Linked DNA regions of Drosophila melanogaster. The gene in region 2 interacts genetically with the main gene of each other region. Each region holds a gene or a part of one and is shown on either strand. Other genes may lie near its edges.

Region 1 (5,343 bases), on a different chromosome or scaffold from region 2:
TTAACGCCTCACGCGTTGCCGTAGACAAGTGTGCCGAAGAGCTGCGCAAGGAGCTGCATCCCTATGGCGTCAGTGTGGTCGCTTTGGATACATGCGGCATGACGGCGGAGTCATTGTACAAGGCACCAGTGGCACAAAGTAATGTTTTCCATCATCGTTGGGAATCAATTATATATAATTTTATGTTTGTAATTTATTTCAGCCATGTCCTTGGTCGTTGGGGCTCCTACGCAGTATACAGCGGACGTGCTCAGTCCGGACGCTCTTCATGTGATCGAGCGGGCGTTGTGGGACTATGTTCCGCAGCAGCGATATGCGCTTCTAAGTCATAACAAATACCAATTTGCGTTGCCATGTCGCTCCTCGCTGCGACTTCAGAGGCCGGTAGCTTCAACAGTCGGCGAGAGCGCCAGTCAGTCGGTTTAAAATTTGTCTTCTTCCATTTCCTGTACATATGCTCCTGATCCTGATCCCATTTAGTATAACGCGTCTGATCCTGCTCCTTTCCCTAATTTAATATTTTTACAATATATTTCGATTGATGTTTCTTTTTTCTGTTCTGAGGGCTTTTATAATATTTACTTTTTAATCGTTTTTGCTCACACTGCTAACGGTGTAATTGTTGAACGTTATATTTAATGTTATCATACATAAAAAAATAAAGATAATATATGTGCTGTCTATATATGTCTGTCCAACTTCTGGAATTTATACCTTTGTTTTACATTTTACGTTTGTGTAGTTCTTATTCGTACTTCGAGATAAAGTCAAAGCGCAACACGGAGGCCGGGAAAATTTCACCAGCTTTCGCCAATGGTCGATCAGAAGTACGTGCAGGAAGGTTTATTAAAACATCGGCACCAACAATGCTCTGCAAGCGACTACTAATCTAGAATAATCGCAGGAAAACCGTCATAATATGTCGTTTAATTTAAGGAAAAGTGGCTTACTTGATTTCCATTGACGCTCGCGTATAACTCTCCAGACTTCGAAATCACGGAGGCCCGAACGAACTCCGGGCGGCTATCTAAGCTGAAGTCATTAAGCAACTAAAAGAAAATATATTAAGAAATTATTCAAAATTTTAAGTGGCTTTTTCTTCATTTTACGTATGAGCACTTTAATGTACATATACGGAAAGGAGATACTCCTGTTGATTCTAATTTAAATGTTATAAAATCTTTTCCATTAAAAAATCTGTAATTTGTCAAACTATTTCCTATTAATAGCTTCCAAAGAAGTATGGTGACGGAAACATTCCAGCAATTTCGAGAGCAATCTTTAGTCCTCACTTTGATTGATGATTGCCAAGATATAACTACCTTCAATCGTAAAAGTCTGTCGCCATTCACAAATTCACTATGTGGTTAAATTGGATTGGAACCTACCTTAACGTTAAGCACAGAAAGGGAGCACTTGCAGCGATCCCAGCCAGCAGCAAAGCGTATTGCGGGCAGCGCGAACAGATGAAAAGTAACGAATGCTGAAACTGGGTTTCCGGGCAGACCAAAGAAGTACTTATCTTTCCGACTGGCAAAAGTCATGGGCTTCCTGAGGAACACAAGATAAATATAGCACTAAGCGTTGAGGGAGACAATATTACCCTGGCTTTATGTTTACTCGGCCGCAGTGAATCCTAAATTGAAGGTCCTCCAACACGGACTTTACGAAATCCTTATCGCCCATTGAGACACCACCGCTGCAAATGACAAAGTCCACCACCTCGAAGAGCTCCAATAGAGATTCCTTAGTCCTCTGAAAGCTATCGCTTAGCACACACGTATGCATGCAGTTAAAGCCAAAGTAAACCAGAAGCTCGGTCAACATGGTGGTATTTGAGTCAAAGATCTTTCCCGGAGTAAGCTGATTGCGCGGTGAACACAGCTCACTTCCAGTGGACACTATAGCCACCTTAGGCTTCGATAGTATCAACCTATTGCCCACGGAAGCCAGCAGCGATTTGACCACCACGGGAGAAGGATCTAGAGCAGGAAAAATTCGATCATTGGTGCTTAGATCGTAGCCCACAGGCCTAAGGAAATAAATCAAATGTTTTATTTGGTTTGTCTTTGATATTTCGCAATACATACCTAACATCTAATCCAGCTTGTGGCTCCACCAAAATGTCAACAAGGCTTTCCTGGCCGTTCTTATCTAACTGCAGCAACTTGGTGTCCTCCACTTGCACTACGCAATCTGCCTCCAGGGGTAATGGTGCCCCTGTGTTAATTTTGTAGCACTCATCCTCTGCCAGCGGCAAAGAATTAGGCTGAAAACGAATGGGAAGTGTGTTTAAAAATCGAGACAGGATTTTAAACTTCCATTAAACATTTACTCTCGTTCCCTCCTGCTTATATAGATTACCACTACAAATAAAATCGAAACTTACTGAATCTCCGGCGGCTATGCATCCCAAAACACGCTTAGTGCCAGAAAATCCAGTGGACTTCATGGCATAGCCATCCTTGATGGAAGCCCTAAAGGGCGGAATGTTAACCGGCGCGTTCATTTCCAACAGAATTTTGTTCAGATTGGCGGTCTTTTGTACCGTGTTAAAGATAATTGAAAGCACTTCTTGAACGGGCAGCATTGGATAGGGTGAATTCCGATCAGAATCTGTACCAGTTCCGGTTTTGTGAGGACAAATGTGGCTCTTTTGGGCGGATCCTTGGACCTCAGCATGTGTTTTCCGCACCAGGGACACATCGTCACCTATAAGGTGAACAGCGTGAGGCAAAAGTGCACTAATGGTCTGGAAACACTCTTTTACGGCCTTTTCGCTACCAGGAAGGTTTAAGATGAGAGTATTTCCTGCAATGCCACAGAGTCCGCGGGAAAGAGCCGCATATTGGGTTTGTTTGATGGACTCCAGTGTAATATACATGGAGAGTTGTGGGCATTCCTTTTCTAGTAGCTGCCTCGTGGCCTCTGGGGTCACATCCCGTGGTGCAAATCCCGTTCCTCCGGTAGTCAGAATCACTCTCAGCTCCTCCCGATCGATCCATTTACGTAGCTCTTGCTGTATGATATCCTTTTCGTCCGGAACTATGTTTCCAATCACCTGGGTATTAGCAAAGGTTTCACCGATAAGTTGTCTCAATATAGGACCACTTGTATCTTTCTCCGGCTCCTGCCAACATGTGTCGCTAACTAGGGGTATAAAAATCATGAAAAGTAGAAGTCTATGGGGATAAAAGCCCACATACTAGTCAAAACTCCAAAGGTAATCGATTCCATTACGTTAACTACACCGTTTCCAGCTGCAACCACTGACGATACTCAATTAAATTGTAAACTACAATACATAAATTAATATGCATGCAACCATTTTGCTTCTAGTTATCGATAATTCAGTAAAGAACTCTGGAGTGGGAACACTGATTACAGAAACAGAAATATTAACCCCACAATGGGCATGTCATGTCGAGAAATAAATAAATATAAATTAATAAGCCACTACTTTTTAGCTTTATTTTCAAAGTATATACGAAATCAATCCACAATTTAGAAGACAAGTTAGGACATGCTTAGTACCATCTGCCATTAATGCATATGTACATACATATATTGTAAATGTGGTTTCTTTGTAGTTATTATATAGTTTATTTATTTACCATAAAAAGTACACAAACACGGGTATAAACTGGTCAACAGTACTCCTAGAACTCTTGGCGGGTTAAGGGTTAATTGGCTTGCTTCTCGGCCTTCGTACGGTCCTCCAAGGGATCATAACCCTGGGCCATTTTTTCCTTAAACTGGTCATAAGTACGCTTGCGGTCGAAGTGCTTTACCCATTGACCAGGGCAGGATTGCTCAAATGATTTGCGAAGACTCTGGCAGGGGGTTGGTACCTTTTCCCCACTGGTAGAACTGTGCTTTGGGGCGTGCTCCTCGAGACATTTCCAATACTCGTCCCGGTTGTTCCAGCACTTTTTGCGCTCCGCCTTGTCTGGAAAACTCATCTCAGGTTGTTTTCCAATGATTATTTGATGGTCTCGCCAATTGGGGCTATAATAGATTTCCGTTTGATGTTCAACTTGTCAAACGCTTTGAAGTAAAAGGTCCATATCTAATTTAATGTAATAATATTTCAGCCAACAAAAACCAACCTCAAATATTACAAAACAAAAATCAGCTGTTCGTTTCGATAACTTAGTGTAACAACGTGTGGCAACTCTGAAGGGGGTGATTGGGCGCTGAAATTTTAAGTTAAGCCTTTACCAAATCTGTGCGTTTTTTCGTATTAAGACAAAAATATTTAAGCCCTTGATCAAATAGTAAACACCGACCCAAAAATGGAGCCGCATTAAAAAGTCAATTTTAACTGCACACGATAATATTTGTTTATTGTTTGCACCGTTTCTGCTGTGCTATTTATGGCGAATTTAATCAATTCAATATTTTATGGTTAAACATTAACGTAGCTGCACTCGAAAAATGACTCCTTGCATACCTATTCTTTCAATTATGCGTAAAACTTACAAATTTTATTGCAAAAGAAAAACAAAAAACAAATGCATTAAGATGACAGCTTAAACTGTCAGCCGTAACAGTTAATACCGCCAAGGGACACTGATCTGTATAAATATATTTTCATCATTACTCTTGTCGTGGTTACATAAATATGGATAAAAATGCCAGCAGAAAATCAAAGAAGCGCCTTTCGGTGACCTATGACTTTGTTGCTGAAACGGAAAATCTTGCGACTTAAATTACATGTTGCCGTTTTAAACAGACAAAGTTAATTACACATACAAACCCCGCGTTAACATTTACAGCCTAAAAAAACTATATTGCTTTATAGTAAAATTAGGGTTATCCTAAAGGGCAACCGGGTAAGAAATAATTTTCTTTTAGGCACTTGTGGCTTGGCTTGCTTAGCAAACTGAAAAATTTGTATACGTGATAGACTTCAGATTTGATGGGATTGGTAGAGTGGTAATCAATTGGGGGTATGTATGTACTTCACCCTGCACAAAACATGTAATCCATAATATAGACAATGTTTTTTTTTTTTGCTAAATAATTCCTCCTTTACTTTTGGTTGCGAGTAACATTTAGTTGCCCATTACAGGTCAATTTAAACGGTCTAATTTTCATGGTTAACGGTAAAATCAAACGTATTACTTTTTCGTATCACGTATTTACATATGTATGCTCCAGAGCTCATACAAATTAAAAAAAAAAACCGACTACTTCTATTAAAAAAAATTTTTTTTCTCTTTTCTATGGAAATACTTTGTCTCCTTCATTCTTATGACTAGATGGTCTTTCCTCCATTACAATTCTATTTTATGCCTGGTAATGTCCAAGTCTAATTTTAAGTTTAAAACATTTACGTTC
Region 2 (5,004 bases):
AACAAGGATTTCATCGCCAAGACCATCCAAATGGTCACCAATGACCTGAGCAAAAAGGGCAGTGAGCTGAACAAGTTCAAGGAGGAGCACAATATCAAGATTCGCGGCGAACACTTGGTTGCCGAAGGAGCCAAGGGCGACGATGCGGAGGACAAGGCGGAGAACCGTAATGTCCTGGTGTTCAACTGAGAGCGATTGATTACCTCACCACACCGTATTTATTGTGTCTATGTTGAGAGGGAACTCTGCCAGGATTTGCGAGCGATAATCCGCGTTTATTGAACACTTCTAATGTTGTATGTACTTCTAGCTGTAAGGCGCAGTTCGCGAAACGCCTCCAATCGCACCTTCACACCAACACTATCCATCAATTCCCCTCATTTAAACTTAACCCACTCTGGCCACGAATTAAAGATACCTTAAACTTCCGATTGAAATTAGTCATGTGTCTTGTGATTCATTCAAGATCTGAAAATGGATGGACCTCTATCCACCGACTGGAAACAAAAACTATATAAACTATATGATTATTTATCCCTTTTATGCCATTTGTTCTGAAACATTTTATTGGTATGTTAGTCAAATTAGTTTCCTATAAGGAAGTGATTTCATCTACATTTTTACACTTATGTATTCTTGCTTCATAAGTCTTTTAATTTAATATTTGTGGCTAAATCAAGTAAGCAGTAGTTTATTTTCCATTCCCCGTATCGTGGTTAATCCGGTTAGTCGGGTATTCGACTTATTCGACTTCTGTAACTATCCCATTTTGCGGCTCCTCCCTCTGGAAGTCCCTTTTTCCGCCGGATTTGCTTAGCAGGCGGACATTTGTGATGCAGATATCGTGAGAAACAGCCTTGCACATGTCGTACACAGTTAAAGCGGCCACTGAAACTGCAGTTAGTGCCTCCATCTCGACTCCAGTTTGGCCCGAGCAGCGAACGGTTGCCTCCAGCCGCACAGATTGTTCGGTTTTCAGAAGAGTGGCCTGCACTTTCACGGAGGACAAGCTGATGTTGTGACACAGGGGTATCAGTTCGGCGGTTCGCTTAGCGCCCATTATGCCAGCAATTTGGGCTACGGTTAGAACATCTCCCTTGGCCACTTGATTGTCGGCTATAAGTTGGGTAAGTTTCTCACCCACCTGAACGGTGGCCTCTGCACGAGCTAATCTTGTGGTCGAAGGTTTTGCGCCCACATCCACCATTTGGGCCTTGCCCTGGCCATCGACATGGGTGAGTTGGCTGTAATTTCGGGCCTGAAGCTGCAGCCTTGAAGTATGATATGCGTGGTGATACGAATAAGGATGAAGATGATGATGGAGTCTTGGCGCAGCATCTGCAACGGGAGAGGGGAGAGAGTGTGGTGTGTCTACTAGCCGCCAATGAGTATCATGGGCCGGTTCTCCATCTGCGACAGGTTCAGCATGCCTGCGAAGGAGTACCAAGTTCTGAAGACTTTCTACGTTTCATTCGGAATCGAAACTCACCTGCATGCTGTTTCTTCTTACGCTGGACGGCTGCTCCAATGAGATCCACCAACTGTTCCTCGCTAACACTCTCATCTCGCATGGCATCTCTCAACGAGAACTCTTTGTTGCCAAACAAGCACACCTTTATGTTTCCATCCGCAGTGAGTCGCAATCTATTGCAGGTACCACAAAAGTGTTCCGTCATGGAGGTGATGAAACCGACCTGACCCTTAAATCCCGGAACTGCATAGGCTTTAGAAGTGTCATTAGGTCCATTGGGAAGGGCCTTGAAGTCTGGCCACCTTTGTCGAATGATTTGCAGGGTATCTTTATACGAAATGAGCCTCTCTGTATGCCACTTGTTTCCGGAGAATGGCATGTACTCTATGAACCGCACATCTACCGGACGATTCCTGGTGAACTCAACAAAATCACAGATTTCATCCTCGTTGAAATCCCGCATAAGGACGCAGTTCACCTTGGGGCGATAGCCCAATTGGACAGCTAAATCAATGCCGGCTATCACCCGCTCCCATCCTTTTCGCCTGGTGATCTTCTCAAAGCGATCCCTTTTCAGCGTATCCAGACTGATGTTCAGGTTATCTAGTCCAGCTCTCTGGAGCGGCAACAGCAGGCGTGTCAGCACCAGGCCATTGGTGGTAATTCCGATTTGCTCCAGTTCGGGTAGTGCTTTCATTTGTGCCACTATCTCTACGATATCCCTGCGCACAGTTGGCTCTCCGCCGGTCAAGCGGATCTTTCGCACTCCCTGCTCCACGAAAATTCGAGCTAGACGAAGGATTTCCTCGGTGGTCAGGAGTTTGTTTTTCGGCTGTAGCGGAACGCCTTCAGCGGGCATGCAGTAGTCGCCTGAAAATATGACCACATTATAGTTATAATAGAATTTTCCAATTGGAATTTAATAAAAGTTAACTGAAGAGTATCATGGAAGTTTCTCGAATTCAAGTTAAGAACATTAAATTATCTAATATCAATGGGGGGTTTGCTATCTATCAGTAATCGAAATCAGAAACGTTGTTAATGTCGCCAAAATTATCTGATTATAATAGCAGCTACAAATGAAATTAGACCATCTGCTCTAATTTGTCAACAATTGGCTGATATGGTTGGACTCCATAACTATTATGTTGACCGCAGTTGTGCGTGTGTAAGACACGAATTTCGCCACATTATTCAATCAAGGCTGGGATCCACTTCACTGCGAGTATTATCAAATAGGTAAAACAATAACAGGGCAAACTGATAAGGGTCGAAAACATAGGTGGTTGGTTTACTTACATCGCAGATTGCAGCGTTCGGTTAGAGAAATTCTCAAATAGGTGTGATGCCGGCCAAAGGAGTCCGTGAGTGGCGAATTCTGGTTAAATTTTCGATTAGCGAAATCGATACGGAAACTTTGTGCCCACCAAATGGAGTACTCACCTTTCTCAGCACCTGTTTCTCCGGCTCCAATGGCTGAACACTTGCCGTGGCCAGATTGAGGTAACCGGTTGTGGCCTTCAGCCGGATTGCTCCTCTCGAAAGTGAAGCCACCTCGCCCGCGCTATTCTCCTGACCCAGCAATCGAATCGCGTGTCTGGCCAATAGCCGCATGTTTTTTTGTTATTTGTATTTTGATTGATGTTCTCTCAGCTAAAACGAATACAATTGGCTTACGTAAGCCGGCAATTTGCGGGGGGTGGCACGAGTTGTTGGGGGATCTGTTGTCGCTGGAGCGATTTCGGACAGTCAGACTGTGATAAGCAATTACATATGCTGACGGCGGTCCTATGTCCTACGAATTGATATCGCCGATTACGCGCTCTCCGTTTCCAACTGCAGCCGGCGAGCGTTGTTTATAAACTAAATTGAGAGTGACGATCATATGGACGAGCTGCCAGCGCAGCTTTCGCCAAAGCTTTTGTTCTAGTGCCAGTGTTAGGCAGCATTTGAAATTTTTTGCCGGTTGATTGATTGTATGGGGGGGGGGGAGCCACCAGGGGGTTGACGCTTCAGAGCTTTGACCTGCAAAAAACCTAGCAGAAATGAAGATGCAGTGACAGCAGTTTACTTATAAGTGAATGGAGTTTAATTTCATTTATTTTAGTACAGTATACAATAAATGATTAATATTTGCTATACAGATGTAATGCCTTGCAAAGAGTTACAAGTGTTATAAACATTCAAGCATCTAAATTTTGACATTCTTAGTTTGCTTTTTAAAATTTTTTTTTTTAAATTTTACCCAAACTTAAACATAAGAAATGATCAAATACGAGATATAAAGACCATATAAATACAGGCCCTTCTTATAATTTTTAAGTTTAAGGCTATACCAGTTCATTATAAACTGTTATTCAAAGGAAAGTCTTAACCCCATAGTGTACAAAACAAAAGCAACAAAACTCCCCACGAAAGAAGAAAGATATATGTATACCCTTTTCCAGCCGCCACTGTACTTATAAGAAGCCTTTTTGTTTATCAAAATCTTTGTGGTGAATTCTGTGGCACATGTTCATTTGAAATTCGAATAGTCAGTCCACCATATATACACACAATAATCGCCAGTCGACGTCGGTTATCCATGATGCACACACCCCGCCTGTCGAATATTAAGCGGGCATCGGTGCTCCTCGTCACCGCCCTGCTCCTCTATGTCTTCGTTTTCTCCAGTGGCTATCAGAAGTACCAGATCGAGGGCATTATCAAGCAGAGTCAACCGGAAAAGGTCTGGGAGTATGTGGCGGATTTTAATAAGATGCGTCTGCTCAATCCCACCATGTAAGGAAAACTCTTTCTTCAAACTTAAATCAGTTTATACGATAATCAGATATTTTCCCCATCACACACAGTTTAAACTTCAAGATCCTAGCTGATCATGGCCACGCCCACGACTGGCGTTACACGGTGCAGTACACAGAGCGACTATCCCATTGGCCATACTGGCTGAATACGGCTACGGCCAAGTACGTGGTCACCAAGTCATTACCCGGAGTATCGCCCGTGGCCTATGCCATTAAGTCCACGCATCAGACTTGCTTCTTTGCCGGATTCTATTGCCGTAAGATAAGACGGAAGTGATATGAATGCCCTCGCTAATCGTAAATGAATCTCTATTGCAGTACAATCACTGAGTGAATTCACGTTCAGAAACTCCAATGGTGATACCTTTGCCCAGGAGAACATCCAGTATCAGTGTCCACCACTCTTGGGCGGCATGTGTAGGCGGGAACTGGAGTTCCAGCGCCAGGCGGTGATGCACAACTTAACGATAATATTCGGAAAACAGAGAGGATAGCATACCAGGATCTAGTTCAAATTTAAATCATATGTGCAAACAACTAATTGACTTACCTACCAATAATCTTAATTCCTAATAAAAAAAAAACACACACAATACTTTGTTTTTAAATGTAAACCCTGTGTTTATTTAACGATGATACAAAATTACACGGTACTTGCTTCTAAAAACGATATCTTTCGTTACTTTAAAATTGTTGAATACACTTTGAATGCGTATTGAAATAATTTAA
Region 3 (5,907 bases), on a different chromosome or scaffold from region 2:
ACTGTCTGCCTATCGATGGGCAGGAATTTCAAAACAGGGTTGTCAGCCCATGGAAAATTATAGTATTGTACGTTAATGGAAAAATATCTATCTAGTATCTCTTTCAAATATGAATTTTACGAGCTGTAGATCGGATGTTACTGGTCTCAACAGTTAATTTGCTGCAGTTTTCAATCTTAGGTTTGCTTTATATAACAAATAAATAGACCATAAAAGCTCTACCTAAGCCCAAAAAACAAGGTACCAATTAATCCGTACAGCTTTAAGATAGAAGGATGTCCTAAATCAATGAATGAAAGAAAATGCTTCCATGCCATTTTTGGAGTATTGATACAAACTCCCTCACCACTTTCAAGCCTTGGTAATTTAATAGACTTTAACAGTTTCAAGAAAATATAATCATTAATTTTTATGATATGTTGTGATATGAAGTTATGATATCGCGATGCTTTTTATTCATTATTATCATTATTGATGTTAAGCAACTTGTGCTAAATTTGCTTTCCATGATTCGTTGGTAGCCCTGCTCGTCACTTCTTCAAATGGGCGCCTGGATTCAAATCGGCATTTATTTACGCCGTTGCGTTATTTACGTTCGATTACCCTTCCTAAGAACTCAAGTATATACATATCGATTTCAATGTGTTTATTTTGCAATTAAGGCCTTTTAAAGGCTTAAGACACTGGCAAGAGGTATCCGGTTACTTTGAACTTAAGCTATCCTGAATGTTTCTTTAAGAATGTTTGCGTATTCCTATTTCAGAAGTACTTAAAAAACAAACTAAGTGCGAAACGTGATGCAACGTAATAGAGAATTACTTAGTGAATATTGTGCTAAAACTATGTACAATAGAAACATTTCGGGTCAACGAACCAAAGAACGAAGAAAACCACGCTGAAGTGATGTAAAGTGAGCTTATTCCACAAGGACAACATCGCCGCAGGTCATGTGTTGCTCCTTGGGTTCCAGTTCTTTTGTGTCCTGGGGGATCCTAGTGATGTAGATGCCGAATCGCATGCGACCCTTCTGCAGGCGGGATATGGTGGTCAAGGTTTCTGGCGACCGTTCGCCTGTCCTTTGGTTAATGCAGATCATGTCGCAGCGCTGGCAGGGACCCTCCACCTGAAATTGGATTCCCCCAATGGACAGGGCCTTGTAGGTAAGCTCCTCAAAGGCACTGCCCGTGTCGATGATGATATTTGCCCGAAAACGATCCACAGTCTCGTCGAGGGGCTCTTCAAATTGAAGCGATCGCACGGAAGACTTGTTTAGCAGCAAGAACTGGGCCTGATTAACCAGACTTAGCTTCTGCTGATCCTTGGAAGAGTTTCTCTGGCCCGATTGTCGAAGCAAACGGAGGCCCTCCATGCCGAGGTTTTCGCTTAACCACTGGGCAACCCTATCGCCGCAATCCAAACCTTCCACGGGCTGTCGGCACACCTTGCTTACGCATTTTGCTGTGTCGGCTGCCTGGTCATCCAGAGAAAGGGGCACCGAGATGGTGGAATTTTCTCCAAACTGCAGCTCCAATTGGTCAACCTTAATCACTGGCCTAATTAGGCACAACTCCGTGCAGCGTTTCTGGGTCAACGCCATGCCATTCATGTCCACGATCATCCACTCACGGTCATATTTCAAACCTTGATCCGTCAATGGCCAGGAGCCCGGTAATTCGATCTTAAAGGCGGCACAAGACTTTACCGGATATATGGCCATCTGCAATAGTTTTGGCCTCAAGAGCTGGACTCGCTCCTTCAGCAACGGCGGCAATTGCTCCGCCTGCTCCTCGATGAACTGAATCCGCTGCAGCGGCTTGGTTGCCAAATAACTGGAGCGCAGCATCTGGAGCAGCTTGTCTACGTCCTGAATAGTTGTCATATAGCCAAAAGATACCCGTACCGCTCCCGTCGGCTGTCCATCGATCAGATCAAAGTAGTCGCCGCATATGCGACCTGCTCGCTTGTAAATCGCATCCAAAGCATCTTCATCGAGGCCTAGGTAATATTGGCAGGCTCCGATGTTGCAGAAGCAACCAGTCCGCAGGAGTATTCCGTGCAGAGCAGCCACACAGGCGATCTCGCCGAATCCCACAAACGAACCCGATTCAGTGCGCACGTTAAAGGCCACGATGCCACCCTGCCGGGATTTGTCTTGGTAGCCCACTTTATTGTACAGCTTCACGAGGGGCTCACCATTGGGATGATGCAGCTGGCGCAGCTGATCCTCCAGATACTTGGCCAGACCAAAGACGTGTCTGAAAATACAATGATTGGAAAATAAGGCTGAAGTCATCAGACTTATCATTATCTAATCACCTGGAAATCCTCTCCATGGTGCTAAACTCGTCCGTTCTGGGCACCAATCTCTCCAGCGTTCGAAAGCCCTCGAGCAACCCGACAATGGAGAGGAATGGCAGGGTGCCGTCCTCGTAGCGCTGATGGAAGGTCTCTCTCAGCTGGTAATCCATGGCATGCGGATATGCGTAGTTGATGGTACCACCGCCAAAAAAGCGGCGCTTCTGGAAGACCTCGGCTCCTCGTCGACTCACGAGCAGGGCTCCCACGCCCGTGGGATAACCGAAGATCTTGTAGAAACTAAGGCACACGTAATCTGGTCTATACTTTTGCAGATCCAACGGACTGGTGGCCACAAAAGACGCCGCATCCAGGCAGATATAGTAATCGTTGTGCATATTCTTCTTCTTCTCTCCCAAAGAGCTCCAAAGCTCTTTTCCCGGCTTGGCCAAGCCATCGATTTGGATTTGCTCAATGACTTCCAGTGGGATTTTGTAACCACTAAAGTTGCATTGGGCCGAAAAGGTCAGCAAGGAGTTTCCTGTTTTTCCGGACACCTCGTGAACTTTCCCGTTCGCCTTGTGCTTTCCGCCAGAGATTTCATTCTCCCTCAGCATGTATATACCGTTTTCCCGGACCCTTTCCCGCATTCCCAGCACTGAGGTGTGGTTCTCCTGGCAGAAGTGAAACTCACCAGAGGATCCAAAGTCAAAGTTTTCCGCCACCAGGGACAAAGCAGCGGTGGCATTCGCCGTGAATATCACATGGTAATCTTCGGCGGTGGTGTTAAAGAATTCCAGTATTCTAAAAAAGTGTATATGAATAGAAGTTTTACTAAAAACAACTTAACCACAAATGAGGAAGATAAGCAGCGACATAAGGATATTTTACGATATTGCTATATGCACATAAATAATTATTAATAAAAGCGCCACACAAGGGCAACCCAATGACAGGGGGAGAATGGTTGTTTTGGCTCGTGGACACGGATGAACTCACTTGAATCGCACCTGGTCGACGAAGTCGCCGGTGAGGCGGCAGGTGTGCGGATTGCAGATGACATTGCGCTGCAGTTGCTCCGCGGCGGCCGTCACCTGGCTCTCGGCATAGAGAGTGGTGCCCGCATGATCCAGGTAAACACTCTTGTTGCCTGTTCGATAGACGGATAGTTAGGTTCGTTATCTGTTTGCGCTGGGTATTTCACCATGGTTCTCCACTTACTGGCCAATCTAGAGAATTCCGCGTCTATTTGCGACTGCTCCGATGCGGAGAACTCCGGCCGATATGATGTCATGTTGGGAACTAACTATTCGTGTTGGCTGCAAAGCGGGCTTTATTTATTTGCGACCGGCTTGCATTTGTTGCGCCATACTCTTCTTCGCTGGAAAAAGCCACGGACAGTATACATCAACTATCACGTTCAGTTGAGCATTTGCTTTGACTTCTCTTTGAACTTACTCCACCCTACACATTTTACGAAGCTCAATTTATTAAGCTTCTTGTGCATTATGTTTGCTTATTGTAATATATATATCATATTCTCACACTGCTCACCAATATTATAGATGTAGCATTTTACCAAATCTTTTCCAATTATTAACTCTGAATTGCATAGAATTTTAAACTCAAATTGTACGGTATTAACTAGTCGTTGTGCACTTTGCATGGCTATTCAAACATATGTTCTGAGTGTTGGCAAACAATTGGTGTTAGGAAAATGGTTGCTAATGGCTAATTGGCCAATTGTATGACAATAATTTTTGGAAACTACAATCTTATTATTTAAAACATTTATAAAATGTTTTTTAACTACAGAACATTAAATTCGTTTTCACATCTAGACGATAGCCTACACATACAGCTGATTATTCGATTTACATCGATATCGGGGGCCGATAACAGCCTGCGTTGATTTTTTAAAGTTTTTACCTTTTTATTTCACAATTGTAAGCAGTTGGCAAACTTTGGGACTGCGAAATGGAGAATTTCCTGCGGGGCACGTTGTCCAAATGTCTGGACTGTGTAATCACGGATCAGATGTTGGCGTAAGTACATGATGCATCCAGATACGAGCAAATGAGTTTCTCAATGGCTTCATATTCCCTTCCAGGGCCATACTGAACATCAAAGACGACTATGAATTCGACAACTACTTTGGCAATTTACTGAGCGAGGACAACGAGGAGCACCGCATGTTTCTTGTAAACTGTCGCCGGATGCTACTGAGTGGCAAACAGCCGCGGAACAATGGAAAATATCTCTCGCCCCCTCTGGCACCCACATCACCCAATTGTCCCAAGCAAAATATCAGCAAGGGTGCCAAGGGCAAGTCAGGGAAACACGTGAATCTGTACGCCAGCGATGGTCGCGTCCAGGGCGACACCATAATTCTTAAGGGTCGGCGGCATTGCGATTGCCAGGCGGGCCAGCACAAGTTGATCAACAATTGCCTGGGCTGCGGCCGGATCGTGTGCGAGCAGGAGGGAAGCGGCCCTTGCTTGAGCTGCGGCGATCCCGTGCGCACGCCCGAGGAGGAGCAGCAGCTGGCCAAGGCGGCCAGGGAGAAGGGCGGCACGAAGAGCGCCGCCAAGCAGGGCAAAAAATCCACCAAGGAACTGTCCACGCAGGCGCTGGACAAGGCCTTGGCCCAAAGGGATCGTCTGCTGGAGTACGACAAGAACAGCGAGAAGAGGACCACAGTTATCGACGATGAGCTGGACTACTTTCAGGTGGGCTTACTCTTATTCAAAACAATTTTTGAAATCATTACTTATTCAAAGAAGATAAGCTTGCTTCAGCTATAGTTTATTATGCATCAACGTTTTGAACTAATATAATTAATTTTTAGGAGAACTCCGTGTGGCTGAGCGACGCTGAGCGCGAAAAGTTTGAGAAACTGCACCGAGAAATGGAGGAGGTAAAGCACGGCAGTCGCATGAAGCGGAAGATCCGGGTGGACTTCGCTGGCCGAGAGTTGCCGGAGGAACCGACCATCTCCAAAGAGTACGAGCAGCAGGTGATCAGCGAACTAGCAGCCGTTTCTAAAGCCTCGGGTGTTGGATCCAACTGGAGTGCATCCTCGGTCACCGGCCACTCCGCCTTGACACTGGCACCACATTTGAACATGACCAAGCCGCCGGTCTACAAGCCCAGTAAGGAATCCAAGAGTTGGCCAGCTCCTGCAGCAGGCAGCGATTGGCTGGAGAGGACCTACAATCGGGTGCAGGACAAGGAGCTGCTGGAAATGCAGGACATGCGCCAGTGTCTGTCGATGCATCAGCCCTGGGCTTCGCTTCTAGTGGCGGGCATTAAGAAGTGGGTGGTTGTGAAGGCGCATTTCCAGATTTCCTATATCTAATGACATTTTTCCAACAGACACGAGGGTCGAGTGTGGTACAGCGAGCACCGTGGTAGACTGTGGATCGCCTCCACTTCCAAGGAGCCGCACGCCGAAGACATTGCGCAAATGGAGGGCTTTTACAAGGTGCTCTACGGCGGTAAACTTGAGCTCTTACCACTAACTCTCAGCAATAACATATAATTGTAATCGCAGATCCCGACATTAAGTTTCCAAGTCATTATCCCACAAGCAGTCTGCTAGGCTGCGTCCAC

What was found.
Region 1: of Mocs1 (region 2) and cin, changing one enhances a phenotype caused by changing the other (phenotypic enhancement), as found in Drosophila melanogaster (one study listed by BioGRID).
Region 3: of Mocs1 (region 2) and mal, changing one enhances a phenotype caused by changing the other (phenotypic enhancement), as found in Drosophila melanogaster (one study listed by BioGRID).

What each region holds. Positions count from the first base shown.
Region 1 is NC_004354.4:253,688-259,030, reverse strand, and holds cin (cinnamon), read right to left. Parts: upstream 3,358-5,343; 5' UTR 3,238-3,357; coding exon 3,207-3,237; intron 3,151-3,206; coding exon 2,390-3,150; intron 2,270-2,389; coding exon 2,091-2,269; intron 2,033-2,090; coding exon 1,604-2,032; intron 1,552-1,603; coding exon 1,389-1,551; intron 1,050-1,388; coding exon 951-1,049; intron 890-950; coding exon 746-889; 3' UTR 562-745; downstream 1-561. Other genes in the region: CG13377 (uncharacterized protein), read left to right, coding at 1-138, 203-426; CG42376 (uncharacterized protein), read right to left, coding at 3,684-3,962. UniProt on the Drosophila melanogaster protein: Catalyzes two steps in the biosynthesis of the molybdenum cofactor. In the first step, molybdopterin is adenylated. Subsequently, molybdate is inserted into adenylated molybdopterin and AMP is released.
Region 2 is NT_037436.4:11,068,896-11,073,899, reverse strand, and holds Mocs1 (molybdenum cofactor synthesis 1), read right to left. Parts: upstream 3,375-5,004; 5' UTR 3,086-3,374; coding exon 2,915-3,085; intron 2,850-2,914; coding exon 2,771-2,849; intron 2,342-2,770; coding exon 1,490-2,341; intron 1,431-1,489; coding exon of another isoform or gene 1,375-1,430; exon of another isoform or gene 1,339-1,374; coding exon 743-1,338; 3' UTR 552-742; downstream 1-551. Other genes in the region: Pfdn2 (prefoldin 2), read left to right, coding at 1-189; CG6310 (uncharacterized protein), read left to right, coding at 4,056-4,252, 4,324-4,532, 4,594-4,769. UniProt on the Drosophila melanogaster protein: Isoform Mocs1a and isoform Mocs1b probably form a complex that catalyzes the conversion of 5'-GTP to cyclic pyranopterin monophosphate (cPMP).
Region 3 is NC_004354.4:20,427,936-20,433,842, reverse strand, and holds mal (maroon-like), read right to left. Parts: upstream 4,169-5,907; 5' UTR 3,590-4,168; coding exon 3,517-3,589; intron 3,446-3,516; coding exon 3,295-3,445; intron 3,100-3,294; coding exon 2,317-3,099; intron 2,256-2,316; coding exon 917-2,255; 3' UTR 633-916; downstream 1-632. Other genes in the region: CG11710 (uncharacterized protein), read left to right, coding at 4,273-4,340, 4,406-5,024, 5,144-5,610, 5,671-5,792, 5,849-5,907. UniProt on the Drosophila melanogaster protein: Sulfurates the molybdenum cofactor. Sulfation of molybdenum is essential for xanthine dehydrogenase (XDH) and aldehyde oxidase (ADO) enzymes in which molybdenum cofactor is liganded by 1 oxygen and 1 sulfur atom in active form.